Caenorhabditis elegans: one gene and its partners. The protein of the gene in region 2 interacts with the protein of the main gene of each other region in a pairwise test. Each region holds a gene or a part of one and is shown on either strand. Other genes may lie near its edges. The genes, in order: lgg-1, atg-4.1 and lgg-2.

Region 1 (3,368 bases), on a different chromosome or scaffold from region 2:
TGGGTTTGAAAAGATTTTATCGTGGATATGTAATATTCCAATTTCAGTGCTCCAGACATTTCGAAGTTCAAACCTGATGATATGTTACAGCTAGCAAGTTGTAAGTTTGTCATATTGCAGATCAAGTCTCATAACTAATTTTTACAGATCTCTCTCGAACTGGTGCACTTTCAAGGCGACAGTAAATCGACATTTGATCTCTGTTAAATCAATTAAAAAGGCGGATATCGACGAGTTTTCAAACTTTTTCCTAGGCATATCATAATTTTTTACAACTTTTTTACTTTTATTTTTTCTGACATTTCGATGTTTCGTAGTAGCAAGTTTCCAAATGTTCCATCCTGGGCTACAAGCGAACTTATTCGGCAATTTTTAGATTTTCGTTGTTTACGGTTCAAAGAAAAAAGCGTTTTTCATATTTTTATTGTTTCTCCATGTTAGCTATCATTTTTTATTTATTTATATTTATAGCTTTATTCTGATTATTGTACTTCTGTCCGTGTAAAACATTTCGTCACTATTGACTGTCTATAAATTTTTAACCTTTGGTTTATTGTTTGGTTATTTTTTTAATATTTTTTCTCGGTTTGCTTCCGGCAAATTTTTATCTTGTTCCTTTTTATATTTTTGCCTTTCTGATCGATTACATGGAGTGCACCCTAATGTCTTTAAGATCTTTTAATTGATTTGTTTTATATTGTCAGTTCTAGCGTTTTACCAGCTGGTCTTGAATGCCCTCTTCTAGTTCATTACATTCTACGTCACGGTGACAGCTGTGAATGTGGATGATGCTCTCATTGCTCCAACTCTTTATTTTAGAATTATGTCGCTAATGCACTTTCCACCTACATATTATTGTATGGATATAGTAGTTATATATCGTTTATTTCGTTTAGTTTTAGCATATTATGTTCCTTTAATAGCAAAACATACTCAATACCAACTGTTGTCTAGTTGTTATTCTAACCTTTTATCACTTTTGATCATTTCTAACGTTTAAAATTTCCTATCAAAAGAATCTAAGAACAAACAATCTGTCGATCGGCACCTGAAACCCCGATGATTCTACACCATGCTGCTCTACTTCTCTCAAACCATCCAATGTTTCCCTATACTCTCTTGCTCTCCTCTGCCTGCTGTCTCGTTTCGCCGCCGTATGACACAGTCACATGATGTTGAGTCGTGGTGTCTCGTCGTCTCCGCCCCTCTCTCATCTCTCTCTCTTTCTAGCTAGTGCCATTCGTCTTGGTGTGTTCAGTCTTGCCTCTCGCTCTTCTTTGCGACTTTCTGCCATTTCTTTCACTTTCTGGCGACGTCGGTAGCGACAGTACTTTTTTATTTAAAAGTTTGTAATTTTAGTTGGTTTGTTTAAAAAACCGGTTTCAAATCAAAATCTTTTTTAGATTTGAAATTTGAAATTAAGAAATGTTTCACAAGTTTGACTATTAAATGTACGGTTTAACAATTCTATCTAAAAATATTGCTAAATCATACCAAAATTATTTATTGAACGGTCATATTAATCTAGTTAATAGTTGATTACTAAAGTCTTTCAGAATTCAATTTTTTGGAACAATGCGCTAAGAATATTCGTAGAAACTGGTTATGGATACTAGTGAATATTGGATAAATGTTACTAATATATCGATCGACTTTCAGTCTTCCCAGAATTACAGTTTCCCCGACAACCTCTAAACAGCTGCATTGTACTTGTCCTGTTTCTCTGCATCTCAACAAAACCAGGCCAGACAAACATAGAAAATCAATAGGATGTCTCCTGCGTCTACGCGCTCTCATATGACCGATGTGCGCGCACACTCCCTCTCTCACTTGCACACGGGCCATTCTTGCTCATGCTCTTTTTGCCTTACTAGTACTCGTCGTCAATTTTATATAGATTTCGCAATGTGTTATCGAATCGGTCAATCTCTCAAAACCCATGTGATGTCACCTTCATTCACTCTCACTTGTTACACCTTTCTTCTCTCATGGTTCTTTTATGATTTTTCTGTGATTTAAAGTATTTTTATTCCAGTAACCTTCTCTTCACACTAACCTTCGAATCAAAATGAAGTGGGCTTACAAGGAGGAGAACAACTTTGAGAAGCGTCGTGCCGAAGGAGACAAGATCCGCAGAAAGTACCCAGACCGTATTCCAGTGATTGTTGAGAAAGCACCAAAGTCAAAGCTCCATGACTTGGATAAGAAGAAGTACTTGGTCCCATCCGATCTTACTGTTGGACAGTTCTACTTCCTCATCAGAAAACGCATCCAACTTCGTCCAGAAGATGCTCTGTTCTTCTTTGTCAACAATGTCATTCCACAAACCATGACCACAATGGGACAACTCTACCAGGTAACTAACCAGTCGTTTATTTTCATTTAATTAACCCTTTTCTTTATTACAGGACCATCACGAGGAAGACTTGTTCCTTTACATCGCCTACAGTGACGAAAGTGTGTATGGAGGAGAGGTCGAAAAGAAGGAATAAAGTGTCATGTATTATCCGCCGACGAATGTGTATACTTGTACAATGGAAATTTCATACTTCTAATGGAAACCCAAAGCCCCTTTAAAAAAATCTTCTCATTTTCTGTAATAATTCTGTATTTCCTTCACATTTTCTTCTCATTTTTCTCGTATGACGGTTCCGAGTAGTGACTTCTATTCAAACTATTGTCTACGAAGTTGCTCTTCTCCCCTCCCAGAAAATCATGTTTTCTCTCGGATTTTGATATTTTTTTGCTATTACTTTCAAATTTTTGATTCATGAATAAACGAAGAAGACACAAACAAATTCATGTTCATGCTCATCGTTATTTTCGGCCAGCGAATGGAATACCTCCAACAGTTAGCAATACACATTGCGAAATCACTTTTTCATCTGTATAGAATTGACGTCACATTTGTATTACGTAAACATCATTGTAGATTTCTGAACAAAGTATAGAGAAAAATGAGAATTTTATTTCGAAAATGGTGACACACTTTTGGCAAAAAGGCTCTTTGTATCCATTAGTCATCTGTCAAATGACAGTTTATTCTAGTTGTCATCGTCTGAAAATGTCATAAGAGGGCTCAAACGTTGACTTAGGAATCATTTTTGATTCGATTCTGGCATATTTTATCATTTTCGAGACACAATTTTGGTACTACCCATTTGCAGAAGTTTGAGATTTTCAATGCGAAAATACGGTAGCCGGTCTCGGCACGATGGAAACTTTTCAGCTACCGCACCCAAAAGTGTTTCGCAATTTTCACCTGTATCTGTTGTAATAGTTTCACTTAAAATTCCACATTTTTAAAGGAAAAACCGATACATTTTTGGAAAATTGTAGGAGATCATGAAAAATTAAAAACAAATACT
Region 2 (7,631 bases):
TTCACACGGGGTTCTGGCCTTCCTCATTGAATTTGTCTCGCGCTCCATTGACAATCGACCGCCGGACAACGCGTGGGAAAGTTGTGTAGTCCACACGGACAAATGCATTTAGTTTTACAGCTAAAATCGAGCCGCGACGCGACACGCAACGCGCCGTAAATATATCCCAGATATCGCCAAGCCAAAATGGCCTAGTTCGGCCCAAACTCTTCCATTTCAATTTATGAAAGAAGCCAGAAATCCGTGGGTAGAGAAAATTCAAAATTTTATTGCTAAAAAATCGATAAGAAAAGTTAATTTTTCCAAATTTTTCTTCACAAAATCGATAAAAAGCACAATTTATTTCACTTTTTCCACTGAAAAATCGATATAAAATTCAAAAATTATCGAATTTTTCAAAAAAATCCTATTTTCAGATTAATAATGTCTACATCACAAGAGGCATTGATCTACAAAGTGCAGCCGAGTAAAATTTAAATTTTTTATCGAATTTTTTAATATAAAACATTATCTTCACATTCACAATTTTTTAAAAATACATTTGAGAAACCAAAAAAAAACATAATTTTTAATACAATTTTTTACAAAAACCAGCAAAACAAAATCGTCGTGATAAGGTAGGGAAAGTGGGCGGGGCTTAGGCATTTGCCACGTCATCATCATTGTCTTCGTCTGCGTCTTCTTCTTCTGTATGAACATCCAAAACTTCAAAATCATCATCGATTTTCACGTTGGCGGCGCCGATGTCATCGAATTCTGTAAAATAAGTAGATTTTTGGGTGAGGCTCAGAGACTACAAACTACAAAAAATTTGAAAAATTCAAAATTTTCAGAGAAATATTAGGCACAAACATTACGGAAACTACAAACTACAAGAGAAAAAAATTCGAATTTTAGACTAAAAACTACAAAAAAAATTAAATTTAAAAGTTAGGCTACAAACTATAAACTACAATTAAGCTATTTCGCAATTTAAATATCAACTTCCATATCGGGACTTCAAACTACAAACTACAAATCGAGAATTTTTGAAGTCTAGATTTCAAACTAAACTTGACTACAAACTATAAACTACACTTCTCATTATTTATTTAAAATCTAAGGTTGATTATTTATTAACAACAAACTAAAAACTACAAACTACAAACTATAAACTACACAAACCGACATATTCCAAATACTCACACATGCTATATATTTTCGAAATTCAATGCTAATAAATAAATACACTATAGGCTATAAACTACAGACTACAAACTACAAGCTCTAAAATAGAAGCTATAAACTACAAAGACTACAGACTACAAAAACTACAAACTACAAACTATAAACTACACAAGCCGACATTTTCCAAATACTCACATGCTATATATATATATATATATATTTTTGTAATTTAATACTAATAAATAAATACACTACAAGCTTTAAACTAGAAACTACAAAGACTACAAAAACTACAAACTACACACCCTTCATCTCAATCTTCATCGAAACGCCAGTGTATGGTTCGAATTTTGGCAAATACTTGGGCCGCCGCTGCAAAAACTCGAACATGGGCGGTTGGGAGGCAGGCAATGTGGTTTTTTGAAGGGTCTCGCACAGATTTTCAAACTCGTCACGTGTCTCACAAAACATTGCCAACGCGAGTGAAGGATCCACATTCTCATACTCAATCCATAACATCATTTGACAATGATACGTGGAATCATCCATTTTCGTGTAAACGTCTGCGGTTTGAGATGGTAATGGAACAAGTTCTTCCAAATGACTGAAGCCTACGTCATCGGTGGTGGCCGTGGAATCTTTTTCTGCATACATTTTGGCCGTCGATTCAGTTTTTGGCCGGCAATAGTGAGGATCCAGATAGAAAAGTTTCGAACCAGACATTCCAACAAAGTATAGAGCATGATTTGGTCGACCACCGATAATTCCGACGCATTGTGGGATTTTAAAGAATTCTTGAATTGCTGATAAATAGCATGGATTGATCGTGGTGAGACCCAAACGTAGGGGAATCATTAGGAGAAGGGGACGCCATTCGGGGATTATATTGCCTGGGGAGAGGGAGAGACGGTTTTTGTCGACGAGGCCGTTTTCTGAAAAAAAGAGTTAATGGTTAATGGTAAATTCGAAAAAAAAAATTTTTTTGGAAAAAATGGCGAAAAACTAAACAAGAAGTATTTTTGAAAACATTAAAAAAAATTACATCCCCATAAAATTTTTTTGATGATGTTTCGATTTTCCATTTTTTTTTAACAAAAAACCACATGTCTGACGTTTTTTAAAAAAAATCAGACGTTTTTTGAAAAAATCTCATATTTTTCCGATTTTCTGATGAAAAAATCGAAAAAATTAGGATTTTACCGTAAAATATCTGAAACAGATTAAAAAATTTAAAAAATTTAATCTGTTTCAGATATTTTACGGTAAAATCCAAATTTTTTCGATTTTTTCTTCTGAAAATCGGAAAAATATGAGATTTTTCCAAAAAACGTCTGATTTTTTTAAAAAACGTCAGACATGTGGTTTTTTGTTAAAAAAAAATGGAAAATCGAAACATCATCAAAAAAATTTTATGGGGATGTAATTTTTTTTTATGTTTTCAAAAATACTTCTTGTTTAGTTTTTTCAGAAAATTATCCAGAAAACCTCCAAAACATGACGTTTTAGATCTATTTGTTGGATTTTTATTTAATACGAGGCGTGAGAAAAATTTTTTTTTAAAAATAAACCTAGCATTTTCGACTTTCGAGAGTTACTAGGCCCTTTTTTTAATTTTTATTTTTTGGAAAAAATGGCGAATTTTTCAACTGTTTCAGATATTTTGCTGCAAAATCCAATTTGTTTCGATTTTTTCACCTAAAAATTCGAAAAATACAGGCATTTTCAAAAAACGTCTGATTTTTTACCGAAAATCGAAAAATTAAATTTTTTCGAGAAATACAATCATTTTAGTTGGTTTTTTGTGGACGAGGCTATTTTCTGAAAGATTAGGGAAGTTTTGACTGATTTTTCAGCAAAAATTATGCTTTTTAACCATTTTTTAGGGAAAAACTAAAAAATCATCAAAAAATTTTATGGGGATGTAATTTTTTTAGCGTTGTAATAAATACTTCTTGTTTAGTTTTTTCCAGAAAACCTCGAAAATATGATGTTTTAGGTTTATTTTTTGGATTTTCTTCATGACGAGGCGTAAAATTATTATTTTTAAAATAAACGTTACTAAAAATCGAAAAAAAAACTCTGAAAATCATCCAGAAATTGAAAAAAAAAATTTTAATTTTTTCTCTTGTCCCCTAACAATAAATACCAGATTTTGAGAGGAATTTTTAAAAAATTAAAGAAAATTTTTTGGAGACATTTTTTCAGCTTTTTGTTTTTTTTTCAAAAATTATTTTCAGATGAATCTAAAATATTTTCAAAGTATTTTTTGGTTTATTCAAAAATAAACCATTGAAAAAAAGGCCCTTTTCCGATAAAATCTAATTTTTTTAAAGAAATTTTCGATTTTATACGGTTTTTCGGGATTTTTTTTTTAGAGAAATGCGTATATTTTTAGATTTTTCGGTTTTTTAAAAAAGAAAATCGAAAAAGGAAATTTTTTAGCGATATTTGGCATTATTTTAATCCAAAAATTTGAATTTAATTTTTTAAAGAAATTTTTTGGTTTTTTTTCTAAGAAAACAAAACAAAAATGTCAGCTAAAATTTCTGATAATTTTTAGATTTTTTTTTTGCATTAAAATTTATATTTTCCTTGATTTTCCGCACACATTTTCTATAATTTTAAAAAAGTTGTAGCACTTTGTAGTTTGTAGTCCCTTCTTACCCATAATAAGTTTAACAGCATCTTCACTTGGATATGATGTTGCCATTGTAATAGCATCCTCTTTCACAAGAATATTATCAAGTGCCACGTGGACGGCGATATTCGACCAATCATCGAAAATTGTGAGCTTCTTCATTACTTGAGCCGCCGTATTTGGTCCAAACCATTTTGAGACTTCTTTTCCTTCAGTAACACCCATTTGAGCTGGAAATTGTGTAGTTTGTAGTGGAAGAAAATGATAAAATTTATTATTGAAAATTTTTTTACTCCTATAATTGAAAATTTGATCAAAAATTCGCAAAATTTGATGGAAAATTCGTCGAGTGAGGCTAAAAAGTTGTAGTTTGTAGTCTCAGCCTCAACCAATGCAGTAGGTTGAGGCTAAGCTATATATATATATATATATATATATATATATATATATATATATATATATATATATTCGATTTTTTAACTAAAATTTTACTCTAACAATTGAAATGTTGATCAAAAATTTGCAAAATTTAATTAAAAATTCAAAAAATGTGATGAAAAATGCATTGGGTGAGGCTAAAAAGTTGTAGTTTGTAGTCTTAGCCTCAACCGATTCATTTGGTAGAGGCTAAACCAATTTTGTAGTCTGTAGTGGACGAAAATACAAAATTAATGCAGTTTTCAAACATTTTTGCTTTTTTAAATTCAAATTTTACTCTAATAATTGAAATTTAGATCAAAAATTCGCAAAATTTGATGGAAAATTCCTCAGAAATCGCAAATTTTATTTGGGTGAGGCTAAAAAGTTGTAGTTTGTAGCCTGTGGCGCCTCAACCAATTTCGATAGGGTTTTTAACGATTTTCTCCTAATTTTTCAGTAATTTTCCGCATACCAATTTGATGAATCGAGTAAAGCGCGTCTTTTTCGTCGAAAAACATTTGTAAAATCTTTTCATAAATCTCTGAAGTCTTCTCAATATCCCATTCAAAATGGCGTCCAATGTGACGGCGAAGGAGTACTTCTCCGAGAAGCATCTGCAATTTTCGGGCGATTTTTTTCGAAGAAAAATGTAATTTTTAATCCAACCTGTGCGCATCTCAGCATGCAACCCCATCCTTGATCCGTGCTAGGGCCTGTGCCACCTGGAAATTTGAATTTTTCAGTGCAAATATTAATTTTTAGTGTTTTTTCAACCCCAATTTTTCCTTTTCCCACATAAAAATAGACTGAAAACCAAAAAAAACCTAATTTTCGACCGAAAATCCATTAAAATATAGACTTTTGCCCTTGGTTGAGGCTCAGCTCGGTTTGTAGTTTGTAGTCTCTGAGCCTCACCATTTTCCGTGAATTTTATGGCAAAAAATTACTAATTTTTTGATATATTTAAAAGTTACGGGTTTTTTTTTTCAGAAAAAGACACCGAAATATCAGGAAAATTAACACAAAATCAGAAATTTGAGAAAAATTCATTAAAATATGCGTTTTTTGCCACGTGGATTTTTTGGTTGAGGCTCAAACAAGTTTGTAGTTTGTAGTCTCTGAGCCTCACCATTTTCCCTGAATTTTATGACGAGAATGACTAATTTTTTGATATATTTAAAAGTTACGGGTTTTTTTTTCAGAAAAAGACACCGAAATATCAGGAAAATTAACAAAAAATCAGAAATTTGAGAAAAATTCACTAAAATATGCGTTTTTTGCCACGATTTTTGCCAATTTCTTGTTTTTTTATCGATAAACCTACCAATTGGGGAGAAATCTCTGCGATAAGTGAACCAAAATCTCGATGTGACGTACTTTTTCATTGCCTCGATTCCTAAAATTCAATAACTCTAAGAAATTTCAAATTTCCCGCTTAAAAACCAACCATCTTCCTTTGAAATCTCCTTTCCGAGCGCAAAAATCGGGAAATTATCGATAGAAATTCGCTCAAAAGATTCACAAAAAGGCGGCTCAAATGTCAATGAGGTTTCCACAATTCCGACGCCTTGTTTCAGAATTTCTTCGGTCATTTTGTCGACGACGGGAAGCTGCTCGAAATATTGCAAAATTCGGCTGAAATTGCTGTACGCCAACGGTAAAATCGATAACATGTGAGACGAAGAGACGAAGGGGTTGTGTGGCGGATGGAAGAGGTGTTTGCAGACACTGTGAATGGAGGCAGTCAAGATAATATGAAATTATAAGGGGTCAGAGGATTGCTCACGGGAATATCCCCGGTGGGAATGAGCAAGAACAATCAATATTTACTTTTAATCGAATTTTCTCGAAAAATTGTTATTTTTTAACACAAAATTGCGAAATTCTAGTGTAAATTTAGATTTTAAACACAATTTTCGATTAGTTTGGGTAAAAGTAATGTTAAATAGCTTTTTTGTGCAAAATTATCAAAAATGTTTTTAAAAATCAATAAACTGATCCGTGGCAGGACCCGAAATAAATTTCGAGCAATGCGCCTTAAAATGTTACTGTAGCTTTGGTTTTGGTGAATTTTTAATTCTAAACGTTGAAAATTGGCTAAACAATTGATGATAATGAAAATTTTACAAATTTTTCGGTTTAATAATCAGAAAAATCAATTATTTCTTGCTTATCAGTTGACATTTCCACCAGAAAACTGCTGAAATTGCAAAAACCTGCAAGTCGTTCTAAAACCCGCTTACTAATTTTTGCTATGCGCCTTTAAAAGTTACGGTACGTTTTTACGGACATTTTTTATTTAATTTTTTTTTTCAATTTTTGCAATTCATTTTTCAAATAAGTTATTAATTTAAATTATTTATTTTCATTAAAATTTTTTTTACAAAATCGATACAAAGAGATCGGCGATAAGTTTAGGCGGAATTTTTTTAAAGGAAAAACGTCAAATTTATCAATAAAAAGCTTTAGACGATATGAGGACAGGGTGTGTGTTGAGAGAAAAGAAAAATTGGAAAAAATATATAAATAAAGTCTCTGCTTAGAAATTTAATTGGGAAAAAATCACTAAAAATTAAGGAAAAAAAGGAAAAAAAACGAGGGATTATTATGCAAAATCATAAAATTCTATCTATTTCATTTTGTTAGAAGACCTTAAAATCGATAATCAGCAATTTGCACAATAGGAAGAAGCGGCCGATGGGTCTCCGTCCAAGCTGACTCCGCGGCATTCTGAAAAAAAAATTAGTTTTGTAGTGAAAATGTGGTTGAGGCTCACACTACAAACTACAAAACACATTGTAGTTTGTAGTAGAAAATTCGCGTGAAAAAAACAAGAGACTACAAACTACACTTTTCACGTAGCCTCAACCAATCATTTTAACAATTTTTGTAGTTTGGTTGAGGCTTCGCCGAAATTGTAGTTTGTAGTTACTATTATTTTTGGTAATGGCAACGACTATAGAGTACAAATATCTATTGTAGTTTGTAGTTTTTGTAGTCTATACCTGACAACGGAAGAGACGACGTCTCAACAGATTGTTGAATTCTTTGCATAACCAAATCGAGTAGACAATCCACAGATTTCTCCACATTGGTAGATGTGCAGGCGGACGTCTCGAAGTACGGCAGCCTGAAATTACGTGGTGGCCGTGCAGAAAAACAAGAGAAAAAATTCGGCCACGTACCCCAATTGATCAGCCAGCTGCTTTGCACGGGCGGTACTGACTTGACGCCGATTTTCGAGGTCTGCTTTGTTACCGCATATGATAATGTCAGGTTGCTCGCAATAGGCATGTACCTGGAAATTTTAATATTTTTCGGGGTTTTTTGAAAAAAATTGTTTTTTTTTCAGCTTTTTCAGCCAAATTTAAAGTAAAATTTTCAGAAAAATCAATAATTTTTAGAT
Region 3 (4,005 bases), on a different chromosome or scaffold from region 2:
AAGTTATTTATAATTGTTGTATTATTTTAGAAAGACGAAGGAAAACGAAAGAAGGAGTCTGTCGTTGATCTCACCAGATTTCTCGACAAAGAGATTCGCGTCAAGTTCCAAGGAGGACGTGAAGGTTGGTTTTTTTTTTGCACAATGATGTGCACTAGCAATAAGATTCCGTCATTAAACTATTTAAACAATATGAAAGCGTCCAACATACACAAGCTGTACTTCACTCCATAAAAATGTATAAATTTCAGCAAGTGGCGTGCTTCGAGGATTCGATCAGTTGCTCAATATGGTTCTTGATGACTGCCGCGAGTATCTCCGTGATCCACAAAATCCTTCGGTCGTCGGTGATGAGACAAGGTAATTGATAGATTTCCAAAAATCGATTTAAAGCTTGGATTTCAAATTAAATCTAGATTTTCGATTTTATCTTATCTTTTATCTTAAGACAACTGGGTCTTATTGTGGCTCGCGGAACAGCAATTACAGTAGTTAGCCCAGCAGATGGACTCGAGCAAATCGCCAATCCATTCGCAACCCAGGAAGAAGAATAATCGTTGATATCATCATCATCTCTTATTATTATTATATATGTATGTGATCTCCTTGTGAATGAACATTCTCCAGATAAAAACGACGAAAAAGTTGTTATTACATACAAAACATTTGATACATTGAATTTGGAAAAGTAACGATGGAACAAGATGTAATAATTTTGAATTGAATCCGTCTAGGCAGTCAGAAAGTCCATAGCGGTAAATTTCAATGTTCAGGGCAGTAAGGAAAATAGTCCCTATGGGCTTTAGAGACTAGCCAAGTACACAGAATCGTAAACGGTTTAAATTTTGTTGAAAGAGGATCAGTTGTGAAAAGAAGACATGAAGAAATTCAAGAAACGGGCTGGAAAATGCGGAGAAAGAGTTATGAGGGAACACATAAAGACTACACGAAAACGTAAGCGAATTTGGGTTTCTTTTTTTTCGTTTGTAAAACAAATTTCAGCTGGAAGTTTTGAGGTGGGGAATTGCGAGGGGCGAAATTAGCAAAGGCAACTAGAAAAATGGTTGGCGCCTGAGTATGATGGGTTTTCAGGTATTTACATTTAAAAATACAACATTTTACAGTGAGGATTGCATTGGGCAATCAGTGGTGTTGGTGGAAATTTAAAAATTGATTAGAATTGTGATGGAAAACGGCTCTTGATGTGTTATCCAAATGCTGGTTGAGACGTGTAAACCATATACACAAAGCCATCTGGATCACGCTCTTGACTGTACAAATTGGACATGCTCATAGAATTTGACACCATTGAGCGTTCATTGACGAGCAGGAAGAATGCTTGTTGTGGATGAAGTTGGAGGCTGAAAAGCAAACGGATGATTTTGAAAAAACAACTCAGTTGAATAGCTCACCGTCGTCTAACAATTGACATGAGCTCGGCAACGGTTATATGCTCGGGTACTAGGAATTTGCAGCGATCCATAAGTGGTAAACTGCGTTCTCCATCAAATCTTTCGATAATTACCGGAACCTTGTTCGGTTGTTGGCTGCGGATTTCTTCCACATCTTTCTGACGCTCATCTGAAATCGAATAGGTTAAAAAGGTTTTCTTTCGAAAATTTGAAAATAAAAAAGTTGTTCCTCAGTTCTGGATTTCTCTTTTCCACTCGTAAAATTCATATTTCTATTTAAAGATTGGCGTACGTTCAGTTTTGGTTGTTATCTTGAATGGTGGGCAATATTTTGAACTCTAGAATATCAATATTGATCCAAATTTTCCTATAATCCTATTTCCCTTGCACCTGCCCTATTGATCTTTGTTTCTCAGGTCCATCTATCTCTTTCTTTCATACAACGAAGAGCACCCAATTAATACGCAATGTTCCATGGGTGCTGCTCCACTGACATAGTCACTCATTCACACAAGATCAGCTGATTTTCACATGTCTCACTTGCATATTGTCTCTTGTTTCCTCATGCTCTCTCGCTGAAACGCATGACGCGGGGTGTCTGTCCTCTGCGTCTCTGACCTTTTACAATGGACGGGTGAAGGAAAAAAAAGTGGGAATGATTGGGAATGAATTGGTTGGGATGAAAACCAGATGTTTGATGTTAAAGTAAAATTAAAGTGAGACTTGAAGCTCTATTTTTATTTTGATGACAATTGTTTGATTAGTAAATGAATTTTAAAAAACTTACGGAATGGCCTTCTTTCCTTGAACGATGGAACGATTCCGGAAATGTAAGATCCTCCCCGATTTCCGCTCATCGCTGTTTGTGTGTAACTTTGAAGCGTGGCTAGCATAAACGCTTCTTCACTTTTTCGTGCTGAGACCCGATTTTCGATCTGCAAACTTGAAAAATGGTAACTGGTATTTGAAAAGTTGAGAAAACTGATTTTAGAAGAGAAATTAGAGTGTGAGATGCTAAAGGACACTGTATGTTTTTGTGAGAATTTTTTTATCAAGAAGCGAAAAGACAGGTGAAAGGGAATGGGACAGAGGGAAAAATCGAGACAGAGGCAGTAGGCAGCACACACGCTCTTTTGCTGTATGTCTCTTTGTCCTCTGTGTCTCTTCATTGATGCTACTCTCTTTTCTCACACCACAAGATCGACTGAGCGTCGAGGACACATGACCGCGAGACGGAGAGACGATGAGAAGAGAAGAATCATGTGATGAAGGAATAGATGGGGAAAAGAAAGAATAGAGTTAGAGAAGATGAGAGTGTGTATTATGACCCTTCTCCCAGCTAATACAGAAGTTCGAAGCAGTGTCAGACAGATGAAATGATAGCGAAATTTGAAACGATGAGTGGCAACGAATTAAATAAATATGACAGCGAGACTTGTTGGCGACACTAAGAAAGTTATAGGAGAAAACGTTTTAATTGAATACTTCCTAGAAAACTTCTCAACTAATGTTCTAGTGTGAAAATGCTTGGTTTTATGAATGAAAATTTCTAATATTAAAATGGGCCGTTTAAATTAACGGAAAACTAAAGATTTTATCTATACCAGCCAACTCTTTTATATCGGTCTACGTAAAAAAAGTGCTTGTACTTTGAAAATAGTGGCAGGGAGAGATAAAGGGCAGGGGAACCAGATGATCTCTAGAACTTCCAGTCTGAATCTACTACTCCCAATCAGAACAACTGACGTTTTTTTCTGCAAACTTTTTTCTCGGAACTTTAGATCTTTGACGCGATTTTCGAAAAAGGGAGAAGTGATGAAATATGATCAAGATTTCACAGCAAAAATTGGCAATCTGCGATATTTTTTTGACATTTTAAGGGTTTCCTTAGATTTTCCGTTGTTGAAAATGCGGGTATCTAAATAATTTCGAAAGAAGTTTTGAGATGAGGACGAAACTATGGAAAGAGCAAAACAATAAGTGATGAGGGGAAAGAAAGAAAAGTGAAAAATCGATGTACGAGTAAACAGACTCTCATGACTAGTGAACTCAATTATGTTTACGTCTCAAAATCGATATGTTACTGCGCACGCCGTGTGCATTTGTCTGCGTCTCGTTTATTTTCTTTTCTTTAATAGCATTTTCCGCGTACGAACTTCAAAGATGAAGAAATTTCTTGTGAAATCGAGTGGAATGTCGATATTTATATGGTTAATATTTAGATAAAAGATTATTCAGTTTTTTAAATTAGGTTTTTCGGATATAACTTGAAAAAAAAGAAGGAAAACATGCCAAAATCGAAAAAAAATGCATTTGGTGTTCAAACCATTAATCAGTACTACCGTAACTCAAAGGCGCATTAACGTTTTTTTACTCTGGTCTCGAAGCGAAAGGTGGAATCATGCTCAAAATTAATTTGCAGATCTTTTTTCTTGTTTTCGCTTCAAATGCATGAATAAGTTCTGGAAAATTTGTTTTTTTGCAGATAGTTTTAAATAATGTGATGTCAGTTCGAAGACGAACTCATTCCGATGATTTCTCCTATCTTTTGGAAAAAACCCGAAGACCTTCCAAATTAAATGGTACATTTTTG

The links.
Region 1: the proteins of atg-4.1 (region 2) and lgg-1 interact in binary tests that used the Caenorhabditis elegans proteins (3 or more experiments, as listed by UniProt).
Region 3: the proteins of atg-4.1 (region 2) and lgg-2 interact in binary tests that used the Caenorhabditis elegans proteins (3 or more experiments, as listed by UniProt).

The regions. Positions count from the first base shown.
Region 1 is NC_003280.10:6,346,387-6,349,754, reverse strand, and holds lgg-1 (Protein lgg-1), read left to right. Parts: upstream 1-2,035; 5' UTR 2,036-2,068; coding exon 2,069-2,356; intron 2,357-2,408; coding exon 2,409-2,492; 3' UTR 2,493-2,795; downstream 2,796-3,368. Other genes in the region: putative RING finger protein C32D5.10, read left to right, coding at 48-100, 148-185. UniProt on the Caenorhabditis elegans protein: Ubiquitin-like modifier involved in the formation of autophagosomal vacuoles (autophagosomes). When lipidated mediates tethering between adjacent membranes and stimulates membrane fusion during autophagy. Recruits lipidated-lgg-2 to maturing autophagosomes.
Region 2 is NC_003279.8:13,536,498-13,544,128, forward strand, and holds atg-4.1 (Cysteine protease atg-4.1), read right to left. Parts: upstream 5,899-7,631; coding exon 5,673-5,898; intron 5,622-5,672; coding exon 5,550-5,621; intron 4,948-5,549; coding exon 4,892-4,947; intron 4,840-4,891; coding exon 4,698-4,839; intron 4,276-4,697; exon of another isoform or gene 4,216-4,275; intron 4,036-4,215; coding exon 3,832-4,035; intron 2,100-3,831; coding exon 1,473-2,099; intron 757-1,472; coding exon 638-756; downstream 1-637. Other genes in the region: Y87G2A.2 (Acyl-coenzyme A thioesterase 8), read left to right, coding at 417-477; aex-6 (small monomeric GTPase), read right to left, coding at 6,891-6,955, 7,231-7,355, 7,411-7,523. UniProt on the Caenorhabditis elegans protein: Cysteine protease required for autophagy. Cleaves the C-terminal amino acid of ATG8 family proteins lgg-1, to reveal a C-terminal glycine.
Region 3 is NC_003282.8:10,933,557-10,937,561, forward strand, and holds lgg-2 (Protein lgg-2), read right to left. Parts: upstream 2,348-4,005; 5' UTR 2,306-2,347; coding exon 2,200-2,305; intron 1,582-2,199; coding exon 1,413-1,581; intron 1,362-1,412; coding exon 1,208-1,361; 3' UTR 640-1,207; downstream 1-639. Other genes in the region: lsm-7 (U6 snRNA-associated Sm-like protein LSm7), read left to right, coding at 31-124, 252-360, 449-554; Protein adenylyltransferase fic-1, read left to right, coding at 3,916-3,994. UniProt on the Caenorhabditis elegans protein: Ubiquitin-like modifier involved in the formation of autophagosomal vacuoles (autophagosomes). When lipidated mediates tethering between adjacent membranes and stimulates membrane fusion. Less effective at promoting membrane fusion than lgg-1.